Macaca fascicularis: one gene and its partners. The protein of the gene in region 3 interacts with the protein of the main gene of each other region in a pairwise test. Links are inferred from orthologs where the notes say so. Each region holds a gene or a part of one and is shown on either strand. Other genes may lie near its edges.

What was found. The genes of interacting proteins can lie anywhere in the genome.
Region 1: the proteins of TFIP11 (region 3) and CCDC121 interact in binary tests that used the Homo sapiens proteins (3 or more experiments, as listed by UniProt). The two-hybrid records come from large-scale screens. The link is inferred for Macaca fascicularis from reciprocal best matches to the Homo sapiens genes TFIP11 and CCDC121.
Region 2: the proteins of TFIP11 (region 3) and LCA5L interact in binary tests that used the Homo sapiens proteins (3 or more experiments, as listed by UniProt). The two-hybrid records come from large-scale screens. The link is inferred for Macaca fascicularis from reciprocal best matches to the Homo sapiens genes TFIP11 and LCA5L.

Annotation. Positions count from the first base shown.
Region 1 is NC_088387.1:94,602,582-94,610,646, forward strand, and holds CCDC121 (coiled-coil domain-containing protein 121), read left to right. Parts: upstream 1-3,615; 5' UTR 3,616-3,852; coding exon 3,853-4,220; coding exon of another isoform or gene 4,221-4,230; intron 4,231-4,686; coding exon 4,687-5,641; 3' UTR 5,642-6,949; downstream 6,950-8,065. Other genes in the region: GPN1 (GPN-loop GTPase 1), read right to left, coding at 756-822, 1,546-1,585, 2,651-2,744, 3,447-3,557.
Region 2 is NC_088377.1:7,531,968-7,539,984, forward strand, and holds the start of LCA5L (lebercilin-like protein), read left to right. Parts: upstream 1-3,567; 5' UTR 3,568-3,631; intron 3,632-5,442; 5' UTR 5,443-5,508; intron 5,509-8,017.
Region 3 is NC_088384.1:25,183,899-25,191,224, forward strand, and holds part of TFIP11 (tuftelin-interacting protein 11), read left to right. Parts: intron 1-1,238; coding exon 1,239-1,766; intron 1,767-1,895; coding exon 1,896-2,002; intron 2,003-3,973; coding exon 3,974-4,142; intron 4,143-4,552; coding exon 4,553-4,796; intron 4,797-5,740; coding exon 5,741-5,883; intron 5,884-6,372; coding exon 6,373-6,538; intron 6,539-7,326. UniProt on the Homo sapiens protein: Involved in pre-mRNA splicing, specifically in spliceosome disassembly during late-stage splicing events. Intron turnover seems to proceed through reactions in two lariat-intron associated complexes termed Intron Large (IL) and Intron Small (IS).

The sequences.
Region 1 (8,065 bases), on a different chromosome or scaffold from region 3:
AAAACAATGATTATAAAACACTCTTATAGAAATAGGTGACAAAAGGCCGGGCGCGGTGGCTCAAGCCTGTAATCCCAGCACTTTGGGAGGCCGAGACGGGCGGATCACGAGGTCAGGAGATCGAGACCATCCTGGCTGACATGGTGAAACCCCGTCTCTACTTTAAAAATACAAAAAACTAGCCGGGAGAGGTGGCGGGCGCCTATAGTCCCAGCTACTTGGGAGGCTGAGGCAGGAGAATGGCGTGAACCCAGGAGGCGGAGCTTGCAGTGAGCTGAGATCCGGCCACTGCACTCCAGCCTGGGCGGCAGAGCGAGACTCTGTCTCAACAAAAAAAAAAAAAAAAAAAAAAAAAAAAAAAAGAAAAAGAAATAGGTGACAAAGAAAAGCTAAAGAATGACAAATATTTATCACAAGTAAAATGCCCCATCATTTTTCCATTCCATGACTGCTAGTCCATCCCACTCCCAAATATCCCCATCCCAGCTTCAGGGTAATACCACAAGCAAAGAACATGTCAAGAAAATAACCCAGGTCTTTTAGATTTTTGTTAGCTGTCACAAATATTAAATGTGAAGTGTCTGACAATACTGATCACCTTCTCATAGTCTACTTCTCTGTCTGACAAAATGTCTACTTATTTTCTGTATTTATGTGCAGGTTTGCCGCTTTTCTTTATCAATGTGATCAAGCTAAGGAATTTAAGAGTCACAGATTTTTACACAGCCATATTGATATATTAAAGACAGACATACCTGATCAAATCTGGTAGCAAAGAGATTGAGTGAGGTCACTATGCCGCCATTGGGTCCAAGTCCATATCTAGACACCAAGTTGAGGACTGAAATCGCTTATAGATTAGATTATAAAGTTCACACCCAGGCTATCATTCACACAAAACAGCATTATGAAATTAGTGTTCCATTAATGAATATTGGCAACCTAATCCGTGACTACCACACAACCTTAACCACACAGGGAAACATTCAGTATCAAGGTCTGGCTCACTCATTTATGACTTTAGGAATGGCCAGGCAAAATGAAGAAAGCAAAGTGACCAAAATGTAATACAGGTGCATCAGGCAGTGACAGCTCCCTAGCACTGGCCATGAAGGCCACCTGTATAACACCTCCGGCTCTGATCCTCATAAACAAATTAAGCAGAGTACACATTTCACAAAGCAATTTACTAAGAGTTAATCCAACTAAACCCACTCATTTCTGAGTTTCCCAGTCTAAAGAGGTGGTGACCAACAGATGATCCTCCAAGGCAAAATACTACCTTGTGGGACCCAGGTAGCTGTCAGTTATCCTATCCTACTCTCTGCTCTTTAATTACAACAGCCTGCCATCTGGGGAGACAGTAAAAAAACTAAAACCTCAAGCTGAAATAATATTTCTGATCACCTACCTCTGCCACAATCAGCTTCCATCCTTTTGCTTGTATATTTCACAGGGAAAAGGCAAAAACACTCTTTCAAGCCACAAAATACACAGAAACGAAGCCAGGAATGAGTCAAGACCAAAGTAGATGGAAAAGGATACTGTTTCATGACTTCTTTATACTTTACAGTGTCACGAATATCTGAGGAGAAAGAAAAGAATTAACTGGAATGTAATACATGCACATTCCCTACCAGCAGGAAAGTGAAACTGGCCTTCTAGCCTTCTCTTGTCAGCATTCTCTTCTACCACCTCCACTTTCACACTGGTTTCCTTCCTTACAAAGAATAAATGTCAAGTAATTCATGAAGAATGTTAGGGCTAGGAGCTCTAAAGTTATGGTAGAGAGTTTTGTCTCCACAAAGTGAGAAGTTTCACACAAGTTAAACACGTCTAGAAAAAGGGAGGCAAAAATCAAGGGGAAAAAAAAGCTTCTTACTAATTGCCTATTACTAACAAACGCAATGCAAAGGCAATGCAGACATGATTTTTAAAAAGGAATTAGGCTGGGCACAGTGGCTCACACCTGTAATCCCAGCATTTTGGGAGGCCAAGGCAGGAGGATCACTTGAGCCCAGGAGTTCAAGACCAGCCTGGGCAACATAGAGAGGCCTTGTCTCTCCAAACAAAACAAAACTAGCCCAGCATGGTGGCAGGAGGCTGAGGTGGGAGGATCACTTGAGCCTGGGATGTTGAGGCTGCAGTGAGCTGAATCACGCCACTGCACTCTGGCCTGGGTGACAGAGACTCTATAAAAACAACAACAACAACAACAAAAAAAGCCTAAGCTGTTTAGGAACTCAAGCAAATCCAAAGGAAATGAAAGTAGATAGTTTAGAAAACATCAAAAAAGAAGGCACTGAAGACTGGCAGGCTGGAGAGTCTGACTCTATTGCCTAGGCTGGAGTGCAGTGGTGCTATCTTAGCTCACTACAACCTCTGCCACCCGGATTCAAGCAATTCTCCTGCCTCAGCCTCCCGAGTAGCGGGAATTACAGGCATCTGCCACCGCGCCTGGCTAATTTTTTGTATTTTTAGTAGAGATGGGGTTTCACCATCTTGCCCAGGCTGGTCTTGAACTCCTGACCTCTTCATCTACCTGCCTCGACCTCCCAAAGTGCTGGGATTACAGGGGTGAGCCACTGCGCCCGGCCTTTTCCATTCTCTTTAAAGCACTTCACACAAGTTATGTTACCGGTTTACTCACCAATATTGGCAGGAAAGGGAACTTCATGTACTGCTGGATCCAGGTTGATCACATAAGGTGGAGTGCCTTGGGCATGCAGGTGTCCTGTGAGCCTCTGCAGAGATATGGGGAGAAGGTTGGAAGGAGACAAAGAGGGGACAAGAGAGAACTTCCTTTACCACCCATGCCTTAAGAGTTTTGCACTTAGATTTTCTTTTACCTGAAATATCCACCCACTATATCCAACACCAAGATACAACTCTCAGTTCAAATGCTACCTTTCTTCATCACCCATCTAACAAAACTTCCCCTACTCATAGTCACTTGTTTACTTGTTTTGATTCTTCGTATGTGGGTTTTCTCTATCTCCTCCATTAAATATTTAGCCCCATGAATGAATCTTGTCAACCTAATTTTCGCTATATCCCCAGTGAATGGTACATAACAGGCGTGCAAGAAATAATTCTTCGGCAAATCTTCACCAAAACCTGTGTGCTAGCACTGTATTAATCTCTAAAGTTACTTGTAAGCCCCTGCCTTCAAGAAACTGGCAATTTTATCAGCAAGACAATTCCTGTACAACGTGGTAAGCTGACCGAGTATGCACTGAAGGTGCACAGAAGACAGCCTTAATTAACCTGGCTAGGGCCCGAGGAGGCTTTGCCGGGGAAGGAACTAAAGTTGATGGGAAACGACCGAAACCCATGCGCCGATACCCTCCAAATCCTCGGAGACCTCCCTCCCTTTCTCCCTGGCCTTCCGCCTGTCGGAGGCAACCTTTTGCGCTCCCCTACTACACCCACGCTGTGTACGTCACCTGTACAAAGGTGGTTTTCCCGGATCCCGCCATTCCCAACACCAACAGACACACTGGGTGCCGCGGACCCCCAGAAGCCTGGGGCTCAGCTGCAGCTGCGGGCGCCGCCATCTTCCTCCTGGCCCCGCCCACCTGACCATAGAGACACCGCATGGCTAGAGAAACTTCCGCGATGTTCTGGGCAGCGAACGAAAACAGAACCAAAGCGTCAGAAAGGAGCGTGAAGGGGCGCGGTAGTTGCCAGGGCATCTTCTTAGTATCGGGCAGGGCTGGTGAGCCAACTAGTGACAGTGGCGAGGAAGTGGGGGCGCTGAGCAAGCGAGAGGAAGGCTGAAGGGAGCTAGGAAAGGGCTCTGATCTCTGCAGCCTGGGAGGGCTTTTGTCCCCAGGGGGAAGGCGAGAAGAGATGGGGTCCCGAGGGCAGGACTCACACAGCAAGAAAACAAGGCGCATGCCTCTCATTTCGAGCCCGCAGAGAGCGGGGAGCGGAGCCACTGGAGGACCGGCTGCTCGGGTTTATTCGGTAGCCGAGGCGGTTAAACAGTTCAGGGCTGGACCAGCCAGGACTGGAGCAGGGTGCAGCCTCCAGGGTTGCTGGGCAGCACCGAGACCCTTTGAGCACCGAACGGATAAACTACGGGAGTTTTCCGCACTTGCACGTTGTTCCCGCGAGTTGCAGGCGCAGGTTCCTGATGCTAGCGCTCATTCCTTGGTAATCACCCTCGGTGAACTACGCAGTTGCCGTGACCTTCAGGATGAATGCTTGGATTCCAGGTGCGAATAGGTACTGGAGGGGAGCTTCCTTCTCACTGAAGGGCTCTCAGAAACTCAGGAAAGATGATGAAAGAGCTTAGAAAAGTATTTCTACTCGCAACCACCCAGTCTGTTTCTGTGGCCCTTTGTAGCTGCTAACAGTGTTCAGTAAGTCATAAGATCTGGCTTTCATACCCAGGCTCTGCCACTTGCTAGTGGTGTGAGTCATGGGCAATTCACTTAAACTCTCTGAACCTGTTTTCTCTTTTTAAAACTGAGATAGTACCTCCCAGGGTTGTGGTGAACGCACGTTGTAAATGATGAGCTAAATCCGTCATCTTTTACCACTAGCTGGATTCCCCTCACCTTGCATAATGTCTGGAACATTCTGGGTACTCAGAAATATTCTCTGGTATAAATAAAGGACAGTTCTGCACTTCCTAAAGTTTCATCAACTGAGAGAGGAATGTCTCATTTGTTCTTTCAGGTTTGCTGAGGGCCCCAGAAGGCTCCTTCCACCGTATCATAGGCTAATAAATAATTTTGTCAAGCCAGAGAAGCTAACAAAGGTGGAGACAATCCTTAAAGAAAAGATAGTGGCGGAAATGACGGTTCTGAACAAGCATATAAAACAAGCTCAAATCCAGCGGGAACAGCTACTGGAGGAATACAGGGAGCTATACCAAGAAAAGTTACTTGTCCAGGCTGAAAACAGGTTCTTTCTGGAATACCTGACTAACAAAACTGAAGAGTACACAAAGCAACCTGAGAAGGTATGGAACAGCTATTTACAACAAAGTGGAGAGATCGAACGAAGAAGACAAGAATCAGCCTCCAGATATGCAGAACAAATTTCAGTGCTTAAAACAGCGCTCTTGCAAAAGGAAAATATCCAATCCAGTTTGAAGCGGAAGTTGCAGGCAATGAGGGACATTGCTATATTAAAGGAAAAGCAGGAGAAAGAAATACAGACATTACAGGAGGAGAAAAAGAAAGTCCAAGCTGAGACAGCTGCAAAGACACGTGAAGTACAGGCCCAGCTCCTCCAGGAGAAAAGATTACTGGAGAAACAACTGAGCGAGCCAGACAGGAGGCTACTGGGAAAGAGAAAAAGAAGAGAGCTTAATAAGAAAGCCCAGGCCTTGAAGTTGGCAGCAGAGCGGTCTATTTTTGAATACTCCTGTGGCCTCAAAAGAGAGAACCAGCAGTTCAAGAAGGAATTACTGCAGCTAATTGAGCAAGCCCAGAAACTAACGGCTACTCAAAGCCACTTAGAAAACAGGAAGCAGCAGCTGCAGCAGGAACAGTGGTATCTGGAGTCCTTAATCCGGGGGAGGCAGAGATTGCAAGGAAGTCATAATCAGTGCCTAAATAGACAGGATGTTCCAAAGACCACACCCAGTCTTCCCCAAGGCACCAAATCAAGGATTAATCCAAAGTAACTCCTCCTAAAATAACACTGATTAGATAACTGGAGCAAGTACTCTTAAGTGCTACATTAACCTGGTTAGGAAGGCTTTTGGATTCCAGATTGTTATTGTAACATCTCCATCATGAGTGTTAGAGTGGAGGATTAGATGATCCAACAGTCCTACTAGATATTTGGTAACCAGCTTCCCTTAACTAGTTTTTTCTTGAAATACTCTCGTTAATAAGATATTCCACAAACCTCTAGTTAACCTAACACATGACCCTAACCTAGCCATTTACCATACATCAAACTAGCTAAAGGAAACCAACCCGAGGAAGTGAAAACAGTTGTGATTTATTTCATCTAACTAGATTTCTTTATAGAGAAAAAGTACCTTTAAGGTTAGCATTCCAAATAGACTGAATAGCGTTCTGCTCAGTAAATAACCAGTATCAGTTTATCCTCATTCCTTTTGACCGACTTAGCAGACAAAAGCAGTTTTTATAAGATTTTTGTAAGTTTGTGCCAGTGACCAGGTAGCTCCTAGTTTTCTCATGAGCGAAAAAGCATTCTGATAACAGCAAGTCCAGTAAGTGCTAGGCAGAGTGACCTTTCATCTGATGTGAAGCCCCTACAAGTTTAGCTTTAAGTAAATTGAGAAGGTAAGAGAAGATGAAGGAGACATCTATTAGGTCAGCTCTTACATTTGAAAATGTTTTCTTTGAAGAAACATATGTAGCATGGAGGTGACTGAATGCCTCCCCTTATTTCAGGAAAATGTATCCAAAAAAAGTTGAAATATTTGGACTTTTTAAAAAGTGTCATCCATTTCCCTAGCAGCATTCTAAAAGATAGAAGTAAAATGATGTTTATTATCCTAAGTGCTTTAGTTTTAGGTCATTTATTAATTTTCTTACAGGTGCACTTTCTAGTACGTGAAGTATCTTTTGTAATTAACGCATGCCATGTTTATTCCCATTTAGTAGAACTATAAATTATATTTTAAAGTATATATTTTTAGGATAGTTATATATTTTGGGGGGGTTCTGCGACATTGAAGTTGGGACTAGTTATTTGAATGCTGAATCCCAGTATAGGAATATAATCTCACATTTTAATATGGGTCCTCTATGGGAAAATAGGATCAACTTTGTTTCCCAGAAATTGTTAGTGATGAAAAACTTCAAAATAATTTTCCTGAATTTTCAGCTTTATTTACATGTAAAGTGAATTCCCTTAAAATTGGACTTAAAAAGGATTCTCCTTCAATATGTCCTTACCTTCTAGCTTTAACAACTTTTCTGTTAAATATGTAGTTTATTAAACATTAGTAAAAACATTTATCCACTGATTTTATTACTGTTCCAATGTAACACATTTTCTGCTTCATCACTCTATTACCACTCTTAAATGTCTTACACGTGCAAATAATAAAAACTAGTTTTAATGCAGAAATTAGGATTTTAGCATGCAGGTGCTTTAAATTAAATCTCAATTTGTGAGCTGAAAATACAGAAACACGGAACAAGGAAAGCATGGTATCCAAGACAAACTTGAAGGCTTATTCTCTGTGGATGTAAAAACCCTAAGACAATATATTTCTAAGGCTGATAAAAAGTTGTAAAGTAGGAAGCATATTAGTTCTTCTGTTAATTCCCCTCCTGCCACTGGTGTCCTGATTATCTAATTCAGGAGTGGGTAACTTCCACCTGATCTCAGTTCATTTTTACTTCTTATCATCCCAGATAATGGATATGGTATACTGCTTGTGGCTGTCCCTTCCAGAGTGAAGGCTTGAAGACATTAAAAGTTGAATGATAACTGATTTCATACCTTGAAATCCATACCTCTAAGTGAGCAGCAAGTTGGCCAACTAAGATTTCAATCTACATTTTGTCTGCTTTGCTATTTAGAAAATTACACAGGGTTAAGAAAGTGAATTTAGATGGAAAATACCTCTGAGGTGAAATTTAAGACCTGCTATGATTGCTAAAATGAAGCCTACAATTGAAATGAAGCCCCTGCAAAAACTGGGGAAGAAACTATTCTAGGCAGAGGCAACAGTGAATGCAAATGCCTAAAGATGGCAATAAGCTTGGTAGGTTCAAGGAACAGAAAGGTGTGTGTATAGTTGGGGAATGGTCAAAGAACAAGGGTGGAGGCTATTAAGGCTAGCAGGAGTTATGAGCACAGAGACGTAGACCGAGGGCCTTTAGCAAGTGAATGAGGTCTGATTTCAATTGTTAAAAACTACAGCTGTTAGGTGGAGTGTATCCAAGCCAGAAGAAAGTGGAAGGAAACCAATTAGGAAGATACTGTAGTCTAGGCAAGAGGTAATGATGGCTTAGATTGGAATGGCAGAAGTACAGTGAACAGATTCAAAATGTAGTTGGTGGTAGACAGGACTTGCTAATGGGTTTGCTATGAGAAGAGAGAGAGGAATCAAGATGAAGCA
Region 2 (8,017 bases), on a different chromosome or scaffold from region 3:
CAGTTGGAAATTTTCCAGCTGAAGTTGTGTTGGCTGGTTTGTACTTACTTAATAGCAGTTAATAATGCAAAAATACGTAACTAACCCCTCATCCTTCTGGCTGTGACAGTCTGGGGTTTTTTTTGTTTGCTTGTTTTTTGTTTTTTGTTTTTGAGATGGAGTCTCACACTGTCACCAGGCTTGAGTGCAGTGGCTTGATCTCGGCTCACTGCAACCTCCACTTCCCAGATTCAAGTGATTCTCCTGCCTCAGCCTCCCGAGTAGGACATTCTGTTTCTGGTGCATCTCATTTCAGGAACCAGGAGTTCATTTTGTCCATCTGTTGGAGTATATTTTAACAAGTCAAATAACATCACTTTTTGGGGTTTGTTTTTTTTTTTGAGACGGAGTCTCGCTCTGTCGCCCAGGCTGGGGTGCAGAGGCCGGATCTCAGCTCACTGCAAGCTCCACCTCCTGGGTTTACGCCATTCTCCTGCCTCAGCCTCCCGAGTAGCTGGGACTACAGGCGCCCGCCACCTTGCCTAGCTATTTTTTTTGTATTTTTTAGTAGAGACGGGGTTTCACCGTATTAGCCAGGATGGTCTCAATCTCCTGACCTCATGATCCGCCCGTCTCGGCCTCCCAGAGTGCTGGGATTACAGGCTTGAGCCACCACGCCCGGCCGTAACATCACTTTTTGATTTGACTAATTTTGATTTAAAGACATGAGGTACTGGCTACAAACTTCATAGGGACCCCCAGATGATCTCATGATAAATGACACCAGACGATATGTTTTCATTTACATAACTTTACAGACAACTTAAAATGACAAATAAAGACATGTGTTTATTATGTAGAATGATGGGAATGATCACCACAATAACTGTAGTGGGTTGAATACTGTTCCCCAAAATTCATGTTCACCCAAACCTCAGCATGTAAACTTATTTGGAAATAGGGTCTTTACAGATGTAATCATTTGGGGGGCCTTGTGAGTAAATCATCCCGGATTTAGGGTAGGCCCTAAGTCCAATGACTGGCTGTCCTTCTAAGAAGAGAAAGGGAGACACAGCAGAAAACCCTGTGAAGATGGAAGTAGAAACTGGAGTGGTGCTGCCACAAGTCAAGGAATAGCAGGAGCCCCCAGAAGCTGGAAGAGTCCAAGAATTCTCCCTGAGAGCCTTCAGAGGAAACATGGACTTTCAGATAATTTGGTTTCATACTTGTGACCTTCAGAAATGTGAGACAATGAAGTTCTACTGTTTTAAGCCCCTAAGTTCATGGTAATCTGTTACAGCATCCCTAGGAACCTAATACAGACAAATAAAGGCTATGCTTATTATGTGGCACGATGGAGATGGCCACCAGAATAGCAAAAGGCCATGGCTCTTCTCCTTCCATTGTATACACAGAAAAGAACAACCCCCTTCAAAAGCAAAAGCAAAGGCTGGGCACGATGGCTTATGCCTGAAATCCCAACACTTTGGGAGGCCGAGGTGGGCAGATCACTTAAGGTCAGGAGTTCAAGGCCAGCCTGGACAACATCGCAAAACCCCATCTCTACCAAAAATACAAAAAGAATTAGCCAGGTGTTGTGACTCACACCTGTAATCCCAGCTACTCAGGAGGCTGATGCAGGAGAATCGCCTGAACCCAGGAAATGGGAAACAGAGGTTGTGGTGAGCTGAGATGGCAGCACTGCACTCCCGCCTGGGCAACAGAGTGATATGTCTCAAAAAAAAAAAACAAAGACTATTCAATTGTAACAGAAAGATTCAAGGGCAGATTTGCAGAGTGACCTTATCAAGTCTACATACTGAGAAAAGCTGGTAGAAAAGAGGAGGAACCCATTCTAAGGAACCTCTACCTTTCAGTTCCTCCAGTCTTGAGCTCCAGGGTTAGATGTTCCCTCAACGGCAAACCTCTGCTCTTGTTACTGTCATGGGACCACCACCAGCCACCAAGCATCAGTCAGCCCATCTTTCCATAATGTCAAGTCTAGGGTTTGTCTAATGTTTGCCTACCTGGAGATGTTGCCCCAACCACCACCACCAGCAAAAACAACCGGCACCCATCTTATACAGATAATTTCTTACCGAAGGAGTTCTAGAAATGCACGGCCCACCAAAACTCAGGGTAGGTCATGCATTTCTAGAGGAAGAAATGGCGATATGGAGAGAAAGCTTGTCCTAACCCACTTCTACCAAAGCAGGATTAAAGTCAATTTGAAAAAAAACACCCGTTTCTCCTTTTATATAAAAACCAAATGCAGAAACTATAAAAAGAAATCTAATAAGCTTGACTCTACACAAATACCAAAAGGCACTGTAAACAAAATTAAAGGTAACTGACAAACTGAGGAAGTATTTGCAACGTATATCGCAAGCTAAGTTTTCAAGCATCAAAAGTTCTTACAAAACCAATTTTTACAAAGATGAATGCCAAGTTTTAAAATGAACAAAAGACAGGAAAACTCAAATCACACAATAAGGACAAATGGCACGAAAAATATGGGAAAAAGTCTATTCTTCCTACTAACAAGGAAGTGAATACAATCAAAGATGCCAATTTTTGACAATAAAATGGGCAAAAAAAAAACTGTAAGAAAAAAGAGAATTTCCAATGTGGGCCAAGGATTGGAACGTTTGCTGGAAGGCAGTTTCCCTCTACCTTTAGAAAGCCTCAAAGTGGCCGGGCGCGGTGGCTCAAGCCTGTAATCCCAGCACTTTGGGAGGCCGAGATGGGCGGATCACGAGGTCAGGAGATCGAGACCATCCTGGCTAACACGGTGAAACCTTGTCTCTACTAAAAATACAAAAAACTAGCCGGGCGAGGTGGCGGCGCCTGTAGTCCCAGCTACTCGGGAGGCTGAGGCAGGAGAATGGCGTAAACCCGGGAGGCGGAGCTTGCAGTGAGCTGAGATCCGGCCACTGCACTCCAGCCCGGGCGACAGAGCCAGACCCTGCAACCTCACATGTAGGAATTTATCCTAAGGAAACAGTCAGGGGTGACGTCAAAGATTCATCTGCAAGGATATTCAACATGGCTTTGATACAGGAAAAAAAGTAAATAAATAAAAGGAAACAATGTAAGTCTTCCTAAATGATGCCAAATTCCTATGCTGTCATTAAAAAGCACCTACAACTCCATCATCTAGGTGATTTTGACTTTTGCTTTGGACATTTTGCCTGTACATTTCTAAATTCTCTATGCCAAATAATGCATTGTTTTGTCATCAGATTTTGTTTTACAAAAACAAACCAAAACAAAAAAACCGTCTTTATGACACGGGGTTAATAGGGAAACTGTGCTTCCCAGGCATTGACCAGGCGTCTACACCTGCTGCCTAGCAGCCCTCGCTCCCGGTGCGGCCACGGGGGCAGGCAGGGCGCCGAACAGGGACGGCAGGAGGCTTGTTTACAGACGTCTACACAAGCAACTCACTTCCCCGAACCGAAGAAAAACGCGAGGCCACACTGACCTCCAGGCCAAACACGCCCCTCCCAGCCGCGGCGTCCGCTTCCCGAGTGCGCATGCGCGCGCCCAGCACCCTCAGGCCTGCGCGTCCCAGCAGGCCTCGCGCACGGGTTTCCATGGCGACGGGCCGCCACTGCGGCCTTGCTGCAGTCGCGGGAACCGCGCGGAACAGGTAACGGCCCAACTGCCGCCATCGTCCGCCGCAGCCGGTTGCCCTGTTACTGCCCCAACGCTGGTCCCGTCCGGACGCGCCTGCTACGCTCTTTCTGGGCTTCCGGTATCGCCGGTCACTGCGTCCTCGCCCCTGCCTGCCTCGCTGGCGCCTGGCCGTTTCCTCCTCGCAGCGCAGTCTGGCAAGGAACAGCTACTCCGGCTCGGCAGTGGCCGGGCGCCCCGGCGACACACGTACTCTCAGGCCCGCTGGGCAGGGGGGACGCCTGGGCCGAGGTGACCGAGCGCGCCCGGGGCCGCGCCTGGGTCCGGCAAGGGGGCAGAGGCCGATCTCACCGCCGCCCCACCGAGGGACTTTCGGGTTTTTCTATCTGAATCTTCTATCTGACCTCCGATTTTGCCTTTGCTTACTTGCTGTTTTGCTTGGGATTCGTTTTTCTGGCATCTCCCTATGTCGCAGGAATCTAAATCTTTTGAAATGTCTTCTCTGTGTATGTCCCCCACTCGCCCAGTCTCGGGACTCTTTATCCACACCCTTTCCTCAGCGTGTTAACATCTCGTTGCCACACTGAAGCCAACGGTTAAGTTTTTTAAGAGCCCAGTTTTTTTCACGGCTGAATGTGAGCTTGAGCCTTTTTGCGTCTCCTCTCAATCCCTAGATGAACTCATCCAGTCTCCTGTACTCAGAGCCTATCTGAATGCCAGTGAGCCCCAAGTGTGCATTCCCAGCCCTCGCCCCTCCCCTGAACACCAGACCCCTGCATTCAGCTGCCTGCCACATCCCTACTTGGATGTCTACAGCATCTCAAACGCAGCTTATCCAAAATAGCTCTCAATAATTCCCCAAGCCAAGCCTGTCCTCCCACAATCTTAATCCGCCATAGTTGCTGGGAATTCCATTCTCCAGTTGCCCGAGCCTTGTATCCTGCTTGAGTCCTCTTTTTCTCTTCCTCACCTTCAGTCTGTCAGCACTGCCTTCAAAATGCACCCGAATAGATTCACAGTTCTACCATTTCTCTCAACCCCCACTGTCACCACCTTGGTCCAGGCCCCCATCATCTGGTGCCTGGATTACTTTACTTGCTTCCTAATTGGTTTCCCTGAGTCTGCCCCTCCCCCACTTGAGCATGACAGCCTTAATGCTATTTCCCGTTCTCTGTTATTTCGTATGAATAAGTTTTTTAAAGGATTATGTAAATTACAATTTCCTTATATAAATTACAATTTCCGTAGATAAAAGTGCAATATTTTCAGTATGTATTTTGCACATTGCAACTTTTAAACCGGGTAAACAAGTCTACATAAGCATCATGCTAACAAGCTGACAATGTAAAGATGCGCCTTAGCTGTGTTAGGTATATATATGACAGTGCCCCTGGAACAGAACTATGGCCAGAGCTTTACAAGGGACTGTCCTGAAGAACAAAAGAATCCAGAGCCGGGCCGGGCGCGGTGGCTCAAGCCTGTAATCCCAGCACTTTGGGAGGCCGAGACGGGCGGATCATGAGGTCAGGAGATCGAGACCATCCTGGCTAATACGGTGAAACCCCGTCTCTACTAAAAAAATACAAAAAACTAGCCGGGCGAAGTGGCGGGTGCCTGTAGTCCCAGCTACTCGGGAGGCTGAGGCAGGAGAATGGTGTGAACCCGAGAGGAGGAGCTTGCAGTGAGCTGAGATCCGGCCACTGCACTGCAGCCTGGGTGACAGAGCAAGACTCCGTCTCAAAAAAAAAAAAGAATCCAGAGCCTTCTTCCCAGTGCAAAGACAGGAATCATGTAGGAGTTTAAGCTCTTCCTTTTTTTATTTTTTAGAGAAGCACCAAAAGAGGCAAACTGAGATGCAGACAAATGATCATCCGTATGCTGATCATTTTGATAGTAAGTACCTGGGTGCTGATACGGCGATCAATGTGACAGGTCCCTGCCCTCAAGGAGCTAAGGTCCCTACATAACTGTACCCTTGCCAATCTCTCTCTTTTTTTTTCATTTTTTTGAGATATTGTCTCACTCTGTTGGCCAGGCTGGAGTGCAGTGGCATCATCTCGGCTCACTGCAACCTCCATCTCCCGGGCTCAAGCAATTCTCCTGCCTCGGCCTCCTGAGTAGCTGGGATTACAGGTGTGCACCACCACACCCAGCTAATTTTTGTATTTTTAGTAGAGATGGGGTTTCACCATGTTGGCCAAGCTGGTCTCAAACTCCTGACCTCAGGTAATCCGCCCGCCTCGGCCTTCCAAAGTGCTGGGATTACAGGCATGAGCCACCACGCCTGGCCCTACCCTTGCCACTCTCTTAAACCCTATCTTTTCTCTTTTGCCGTCAGGTAAAACCCCAATTAACCAAAGTAACAGAGTAGGATTGCCACAGTTAGCTGAGGGTCTATAGGAGATTGCATTTCATAAATGACCACTTTACTCAGATTTGATCTCCCACCACACCCTTGTGCTGTCACTTCATAGAGAAACTTGAAGCTGTCACATGGGAATCCCCTCATTCTTCAGCTGCCAAAACTGCAAGCCTTACTTATATCTGTTCCTACCTTCCTTCCTCCTCCTAACCAAAGCCACTCCCTCTCTGTGCTTTGGATCCCATCCCTTTCCACTCGCCAAAAACTCTACACTGTCAGGTATGCATTCCCTCTCCCGTATCATCACCTATTCCATCTCAGCTGGCTCTGCCATGGTTCTGAAGCATGTTGAAGTTTCCCATCACAAAAGAGGAAAAAAAGAATCTCCTATGACCCCACATTCCCCTTCAGTTTCCAGTTATTGTCCAATCCCTTATCCCTTTCGACAGGCAAACTTTAAAGAACTGCCTTATTCGATACCTCTGTTATTTGTCTCTCACTCCTCAGCCAGCCTGGCTTCCCTCTTCATCTCTGCTAAAACAAAAACCGGGAATGAGACATTTCCAGGCCTCGTCTTGCTCAGTCTCTCAACAGCATTTGAAACTGCTGCCCCCATTTCACTCTACAAACACCGTCTGCCCTTGGCTTCTGTGACCACCCCTGTCTCTCCTGCTTTTCCTGCTGCCATTCTGGCTCACCCTCCTCTCCCAGGCTCCTTAATATTGGAGATCCTCAAAGCTCGGCCTCTGTTCCCATTTTGTTCTCCATTGCGCCCCCTCATCTAGCACAGGGCACAGATTCACACGCACAGCTTTAAGTTCCAGCTGTGTGCTCTTGACTCCCACCTTTCTCCAACTTGACCTTTTCTCAGCTAGACTCGTACATTCAGCTAGCTGCGTGACAGTGTTTCTTAATATCACTCAGTCTCCTCCAATTCAACATGCACAAGACCAAACAACCCCACTTCCCAACCCCAGCTGGGACCTCTTCCATTGTACCCAGGATTCCTCCTTGACCGTTACCACACCCCAACACCCAGTGAATCCTTAAGCCCAGGTGAGGTTGTCTCCTGGGCATCTTTCACATCTCTTCTTTGTCGTGGATGCCTAAGTCCAAACTACCACCTTCATTCAGCCTGCTGCAGTCCTGTACCAGCTGGTCTCCCCACATCTCTGGCTTTTCTCGATTCTTCACCACCCTGCAGCCAGAGTAACCTCTTCAGAAGGCAGAGCTGATTATGCCATCCCTCCCCACCTCCCTCTTTTGCTTACCGCCAGCTTCCCATTGCCCTTGGATTAATGATCCACATCATAGGCACGCCTTCCCAAGGACCTGCAGCTGCTCACCCCCGCCTGCTTCTCAAGACTCATCTGAAACGGCTGGCCCTCCTCACTGGGCTTCAGCCACATGGGCCTCCTCCACCCACCAGGCCTTGGCATTCTTTTCTCTCTGTCTGCATTGTTTTTCCTTCCTCCCTCTCATCCTCTCTTGCCTAGTTAGTTCCCACTGACCCTTCCTATCTCAACTCAGACATCACTTCTACAGGGATAACTTCCCCGATCACTGTCAGGATCAGTTTCACCTTCACAGAGTTGTATCTCCTTCCTTGAAGACACTCGGGACAGTCACTATTATGATTAGTTCATTACAGAAAGTCCCACAAAAACAGAAACATTTGCTGTTTGTGTTCATCACTGTATCTCCACACCCCACAGTGCCTGACACATAGTAAGCACGCAAATGGGTGCTGAAAGAATGAATGAAATGAACATTCTAATGTGTAAGAGATACTAAGTGCCGTGTGTTTTAGAACAATTCTATTAAAATAGAATGAAACTCCTAGTAAAAAATAATCAGGCAAACACCGAAAATTAAAAAGAATGTTGTGGCAGGGTAGCTAAAAACGGGTACTTGGGTAAGATTTGTAGCCCTTTACTCAGTGTGGTACATTGCATTTGCCACCACTTGGTGGAAGTAGAGAGGCATGGGTTCTTACCATGAAGGTGACTGGGATGTCAGTCTGCTAGTGAATTCAAACAT
Region 3 (7,326 bases):
CAAGTAGTCAAAGAACAATGGTGACAGTTGCCTGTTGTCATTTGCTGTAGGATATATAGTGTGTCATAGACCTCAAAGCCTTTAGTGGGGTTCTCAAACGTGTGCTGTTATATTATCTGGACGACCTGATAAGAAATACGGGCGTCTAGGTGCCTCCCAGGAATTTTGAGTCTAAACTGAACCTCAAGACTTTTTTTTTTTTTCCTCCTCCAGTGATTCTAATGCTGGTGGTTCATGGATCACACACTTACTTAAAAAGTGGTGATGAATCATTCTGCTTCAGAAGTGCAGTCCATATTCACATTTCCTGTTTTCCTAAAATATTGGAATTAGCTCATTGCCTAGGTTGCCTTTGTTCAATTAGCCTTTTGTATGTTTTATTTTGTTTTAAAATTAAAAGCCTGGGCGCGGTGGCTCACACCTGTAATTCCAGCACTTTGGGAGGCCAAGGCGGATGGATCAGGAGGTCAGGAGATCGAGACCTTCCTGGCTAACACAGTGAAACCCCGTCTCTACTAAAAATACAAAAAATTAGCCGGGCGTGGTGGCGGGCGCCTGTAGTCCCAGCTATTCGGGAGGCTGAGGCAGGAGAATGGCATGAACCCGGGAGGCGGAGCTTGCAGTGAGCTGAGATCGTGCCACTGTACTCCAGCCTGGGCACCAGAGCAAGACTGCATCTCAAAAAATAAAGTTTAAAAAATTAAATTAAAAAAACAACTGTTATTATAATAGCAGTGTGTAGTACATTTTAGAAAGTTAGGAAATGGGGAGAAATATAGGAAATATTTTCCATCCTTCCAAGATTACCAAATGTTAACATCTTGTTATACATCCTAGATCTTTTTCTATGCTTATGTGCATTTTTTAAATCAAAATGTGATATTCTGATTGTGTTACCTTCTTTGATCAGTACAGCTTCTACCTTTCCATTAAAATAAATTTTCACATCTACTAATACTCAGTCCCTATTTAAATTTCATGTTTCCCTAAAAAGTCTTCTCCATCTGGCTTGCTCAAAGTGATCCAACCTAGAACTGCTTGCTGCATCTGATTTTGTCCCTGGAGTCTCCTTTAGGCTAGGACAGTGCGGATCCCACTTTACAACACTGCCCTTCTCCAGCTCTGTTGAATAATGTGGTTTCTACACACTTCCCTGTCATGGGGCCTTCCCCTGGGCTTAGCTGTGTGTTTAACAGTGCCGCAGTGGTGTTAACCTTCGTCCTTCTACGTTTTCCAAGGTCATAGACATGACAGGCCGGGAGCAAAAGGTCTACTACAGCTACAGTCAGATCAGCCACAAGCACAACGTTCCCGATGATGGGCTGCCGCTGCAGTCCCAACAGCTGCCACAGTCTGGCAAAGAGGCCAAGGCCCCAGGCTTTGCGCTGCCCGAGCTGGAGCACAACCTGCAGCTGCTCATTGACCTCACGGAGCAGGAGATCATCCAGAATGACCGGCAGCTACAGTATGAGCGGGACATGGTGGTCAACCTCTTCCACGAGCTGGAGAAGATGACCGAGGTCCTGGACCATGAGGAGCGGGTCATCTCCAACCTCAGCAAGGTCCTGGAGATGGTGGAGGAGTGCGAGCGGCGGATGCAGCCCGACTGCAGCAACCCCCTCACCCTGGACGAGTGTGCCCGCATCTTCGAAACCCTGCAGGACAAGTACTATGAGGAGTACAGGATGTCCGACCGTGTGGACCTCGCCGTGGCCATCGTCTATCCACTCATGAAGGAGTACTTCAAGGAGTGGGATCCCCTCAAAGTGAGTTGTTGGGAAAATCAACTTATCCCTGCCTCTTGGTTGGGCTTACCCTTGCTTGATGAGTTGGTCCAGTGGGCAGGGAGGGCTGGAAAGCCTGCTGCCCCTCAGCTACTCTGCCTTTCTCCTCAGGACTGCACTTACGGCACCGAGATAATCTCCAAGTGGAAAAGCCTCCTGGAGAATGACCAGCTCTTGTCTCACGGCGGACAGGACCTCTCGGCAGATGCCTTTCACAGGTACCACAGGGCAGGGCTCTGTGCTCCAGCTCCTTTCTGCTGGGGGGTTGGGAAGGACTGCTGAAGGTGGGGGAAGGCAGCAGTGCTAGCCTTGATTAATTCTCTGCTCATGCTGATACCGCTTTAGGAATTTAAATTCATTTGGCCATGAATTTATTTTATTTTTTATTTTATTTTTTTTGAAATGTTTTATTTCCACAGGGTTTTGGGGAACAAGTAGTATTTGGTTACATGAGTAAGTTCTTTGGTGGTGATTCGTGAGATTTTGGTGTACCCATCTCCTGAGCAGTATACATTGAACCCAATTTGTAGTCTTTTTTTTGTGAGACGGAGTTTTACTCTTTCGCCACGCTAGAGTGCAGTGGTGTGATCTCAGCTCACTACAACCTCCAGCTGCCTGGTTCAAGCAATTCTGCCTCAGCCTCCCGAGTAGCTGGGATCACAGGCACGCACCACCACACCCAGCTAATGTTTGTATTTTTAGTAGAGACAGGGTTTCACCATGTTGGCCAGGATGATCTCCATCCCCTGATCTCGTGATCCACCCGCCTTGGCCTCCCAAAGTGCTGGGATTACAGGCGTGAGCCACCGTGCCTGGCTTAATTTGTAGTCTTTTATCCCGCACCCCGTTCACCCTTTCCCCAAGTCCCCAAAGTCCATTGTGTCATTCTTACGCCTTTGCATCCTCATAGCTTAGCTTCCGCTTATGAGTGAAAACACAAGATGTTTGGTTTTCCATTCTTGAGTTACTTCACTTAGAATAGTAGTCTCCAATTCCAACCAGGTTGCTGCGAATGCCATTAATTCATTCCTTTTTATGGCTGAGTCATATTCCATTATATATATATGTACCAGTTTCTTTATCTACTTGTTGATTGGTGGGCATTTGGGTTGGTTCCACATTTTTGCAGTTGTGAATTGTGCTACTGTAAACTTGTGTGAGCAAATATCTTTTTCATAAAATGACTTCTTTTGTGTTTTTTTTTTTGAGATGAAGTCTCGCTTTGTCGCCAGGCTGGAGTACAGTGGCGTGATCTTGGCTCACTGCAACCTCTGCCTCCGGGGTTCAAGCAATTCTCCTGCCTCAGCCTCCCAAGTAGCTGGGACTACGGGCATGCACCACCACGCCCAGCTAACTTTTGTATTTTTAGTAGACACAGGGTTTCACCATGATGGCCAGGATAGTCTCAATCTCTTGACCTCATGATCCGCCTGCCTTGGCCTCCCAAAGTGCTGGGTTTACAGGCGTGAGCCACCGCACCCAGCCATGACTTCTTTTCTTCTGGGTAGATACCCAGTAGTGGGATTGCTGGATCAAATGGTGGTTGTACTTTTAGTTTTCTAAGGAATCTCCACACTGTTTTCCATAGTGGTTGTACAATTACATTTGGCCATGAATTCAGCTGACACTTGTCAAATGTCTGTTGAATATCATGCTTGTGCTAGGTGCTGGGCTTACCCTAGTACAGCAGACAGCCTCTGTCTTTAGTACAGCAGAAAAGGCAGATGGGAAATAAGGTAGTGAACAAATAAAGGCAGGATGCACACCAGGTACAGCGATAGAAAACTGCAGGAGCGACCTCCTTGGAATGGGGGTTAGGACAGAGGTCTTAGAGGAGGTGACATTGAAACTGTGATCAGAGGGTGAGAGATGTCAGCTCATGAATAGAAGCCTATAGGTGGGAAAGCACTTGATACCTAGGAAGAGACCCTTGTGACCCTAAAGCAGCTCTGCCAGGTGGGCGGGCACTGCCTACGAGACCAAGGCCTCAGTTCGAGAGGAGAGTCACGAGAACAAGGAAGAAGCAGGCTCAGGTCTGGCCAGCATGGTGACTGGCCTGATGGTTTCCTCTGATCGGATTTCCATGCTGTTGCATTTTTATTTCTGATTCTAGAGAGGTGGGCGGTGGTGGTGTTCTTTGAAACCAATCAGTGTAATTAACCAGCCTGTCCTCTGCCTTTCTCCCATAGGTTGATATGGGAAGTCTGGATGCCTTTTGTTCGAAATATTGTCACTCAGTGGCAGCCAAGGAACTGTGACCCGATGGTGGACTTTTTGGATAGTTGGGTGCACATCATTCCTGTGTGGATCTTAGATAACATACTGGACCAACTCATCTTCCCCAAGCTGCAAAAGGAGGTGGGGTGAGAGTCACAGGAACAACTGTCATCACTAACTACAGGGACTTGTTCAGTCTATGTCTTCATTATCTCAGTGCTGTTAAAATGCCTGGAATTAACAGAATTTGTCAACACAACTGTTGACCTAGAGTGTTAATTCCAGCCTTTTTCTCAGCACTTTTCCCCCCAAGCCACCCTCAGGAGGGAATTCATTTTCTTGATTTCTTCACTAAAATTAGAATTATGCTATTTCTGAGAGGTAATCAAATGAATGGGCATATTTGTTTGGCGATGTACAAAGGACCATGGGCCTTGGAGAGCATGGGGCCTCCTCCAGGGGCAGCTCTTGCCTTTAACCACACGGGTGTTATGTGACTGCCCAATAGGCGACATGAACTGTTTCTTCTGTTTCTTCTCCCCACATTGCAGGTGGAAAACTGGAACCCGCTCACAGACACTGTTCCCATCCACTCTTGGATCCACCCATGGTTGCCCCTTATGCAGGCACGGCTGGAGCCGCTCTATTCCCCCATCCGTAGCAAGCTGTCCAGTGCCCTGCAGAAGTGGCACCCCAGTGACTCCTCTGCCAAGCTTATCCTCCAGCCCTGGAAGGATGTCTTCACTCCTGGCTCCTGGGAAGCATTCATGGTCAAAAACATAGTGCCCAAGCTGGGTAAGGATATGGGGAAAATGCAGTCCAAGCCCAGCAGCTTTGGTGCCCTGGTTTCTTGGTCAGTGGTGATTTAAAGCATAGCCTTTGTATTCATGAAAGTGCTTAGTACACAATATTCCTTGCTGTTCAGAGGCTGAACATAAATGTAACTTGGGTCCTTTCCGCTGTTTGTTTACAACAGCGACTAATAGTTGACAGTAACAACATCGGACTCTGTGCCTTGTGGTTTTCCTGATTGGCTTTGGCTTCTGGTAACAGGACAGCCATTGGAGTTCTGAAATTTTTGTGGTATTTTATTCTAAATTATTAGGGAGTTATTTCTGGTTTAGCAAAAAAAAAAAACATATATATATATATATATATATTTTTTTTTAAGAATTGCTATGTCAGGAGCTTAAATTTGACCTTTAAAGCAGATTAAAGCCTGAGCAACATGGTTAAACCCCATCTCTACCAAAAATACAAAAACTAGCCAGGTGTGGTGGCATGTGCCTGTGGTCCCAGCTACTAGGGAGGATGGCTTGAACCTGGGAGGCAGAGGTTGCAGTGAGCTGAGATCTGCCATTGCACTCCAGCCTGGGCAACGGTGAGACCCTGTCTCAAAAAAAAAAAAAAAAAAAAACCGCCAGGAGCCGTGACTCATGCCTGTAATCCCAGCACTTTGGGAGGCTGAGGTGGCAGATCACCTGAGATCAGGAGTTTGAGACCAGCCTGGGCAACATGGCAAAACCCTGTCTCTAATAAAAACACAAAAATTAGCCGGCCGCGGTGGTGCACACCTGTACTCCCAGCTACTTAGGAGGCTGAGGCACAAGAGTCACTTGAACCCAGGAGGTGGAGGTTGTTGTGACCTGAGAGGAAAACGGACATTATCTTTGCTCTTTGTGCTTCTGTGGCTTTGCCAGTACTAAAGCTGTGCCTTATAGACCGGGTTTCTCTTCCAGGGATGTGTCTTGGTGAGCTAGTCATTAACCCCCACCAGCAGCACATGGATGCATTCTATTGGGTGATCGACTGGGAAGGGATGATCTCTGTCTCTAGTCTGGTGGGACTTCTTGAAAAGCACTTCTTCCCCAAGTGGCTTCAGGTACACTGTTTTGCTTGGCTTTCTGGGGGAGGGAACTGGGTGGGGATTAAGTTAATTTTCTGCCGAGGCCTGACTGTAGGTACAATTCCATAATAAAAATGAATTACATGGTAGGGTAGGAATGAGTTAGGTCATCTTAATAGTGGCCACCATTTATTGGACATTTGCTACGTATCAGAAGCTGTTCCAAGCACTTTATTTGCTTTATCTCAGCTCCTCGCAGCAACCCTATGGGGTAGGGGCTATGGTATCCCTGTTGTGTAGACATGGAAGCGGAGCTCAGAGAGTTTACATGCAAGGGCACTTTAGCTACCAGGCTGACTCCAAAATCCATATTCGTAAGTCCTAGACTGTTTAGCTACTATAAATCCCTGTAAAGTGGTGTCACTAGCCTGCAGGACCAGGATCAAAACAAAACAAATGGCCCCTTCGGAAATCTTGCCTTCATTTGTTGCCACCATGGATGCAAGTAATTTTTCTTTTTGGCAGGTGCTGTGCTCTTGGCTCAGTAACAGCCCAAATTATGAGGAGATCACCAAGTGGTACCTGGGTTGGAAGTCTATGTTCTCAGACCAAGTGCTGGCACATCCATCTGTCAAGGACAAATTTAACGAGGCACTTGATATCATGAACCGGGCGGTGTCCTCCAATGTTGGTAAGTGAGGATTCCCATTTTGGATGTCCTGGCCCTGAGTTTCAGATTTTACACATGTAAATGACACAGAATCAGAGTTTTCTGGTTCCTGTAGGCAGCCTAAACCTTAGGTCGTACTTTTGCCCATAGCAACAGCCTCTCACCCTGCTGATTGGGGTACATGGTCAGCTGGCACCCACTGCCCAGGTCTACCATGACTGAGAGGGGCATCTTCCCTAAGGAGACTGACTTAAGCTGGATTCAGATGTCAGTCTAACCCCAGGCCCCACCCTCTTAACCACTGTGCTGTGTGGCCTTTTAAGGCTCATTCAGCCCTGAACCCGCTGCCCAGGTCACACATCTTACAGTGTGGAGTTGGGTACACGGTCTTACACTTGGTGATTGCTCAGCCTTCATCAGCCCCATTTGACCTGTTAAACAGTAAGATCTACTTCATAGGCTAAAAGGGGGATTGAGTTCATGCTTGTTTGCAGCCTTCAATAGGTGGTGTCTGTGTTGTCAAAAACCGGCAGTTCACTCTTCATGTACTATATCTATTCCCAAGTTCTAGGCAAGTCATTCTGCCTAGATCATAAGTAAATGAAAGTATGTTTATGTTTCTACATTTGGGAGCCTATTTCAACCAGTCGTGTGCTCCAGTGTTGCTCATTAGCCGATTCACAGCATTGAAATGGGATCATCTAGTCTGTTTCACAGATAAGCCCAGTGAAGCTAAGAGCCTGTTCAAGGTCACATAGTTAAAGGGTGGCAGTTAGAACTAGAATTTCTATTTCCTGAGTCTTTAATTC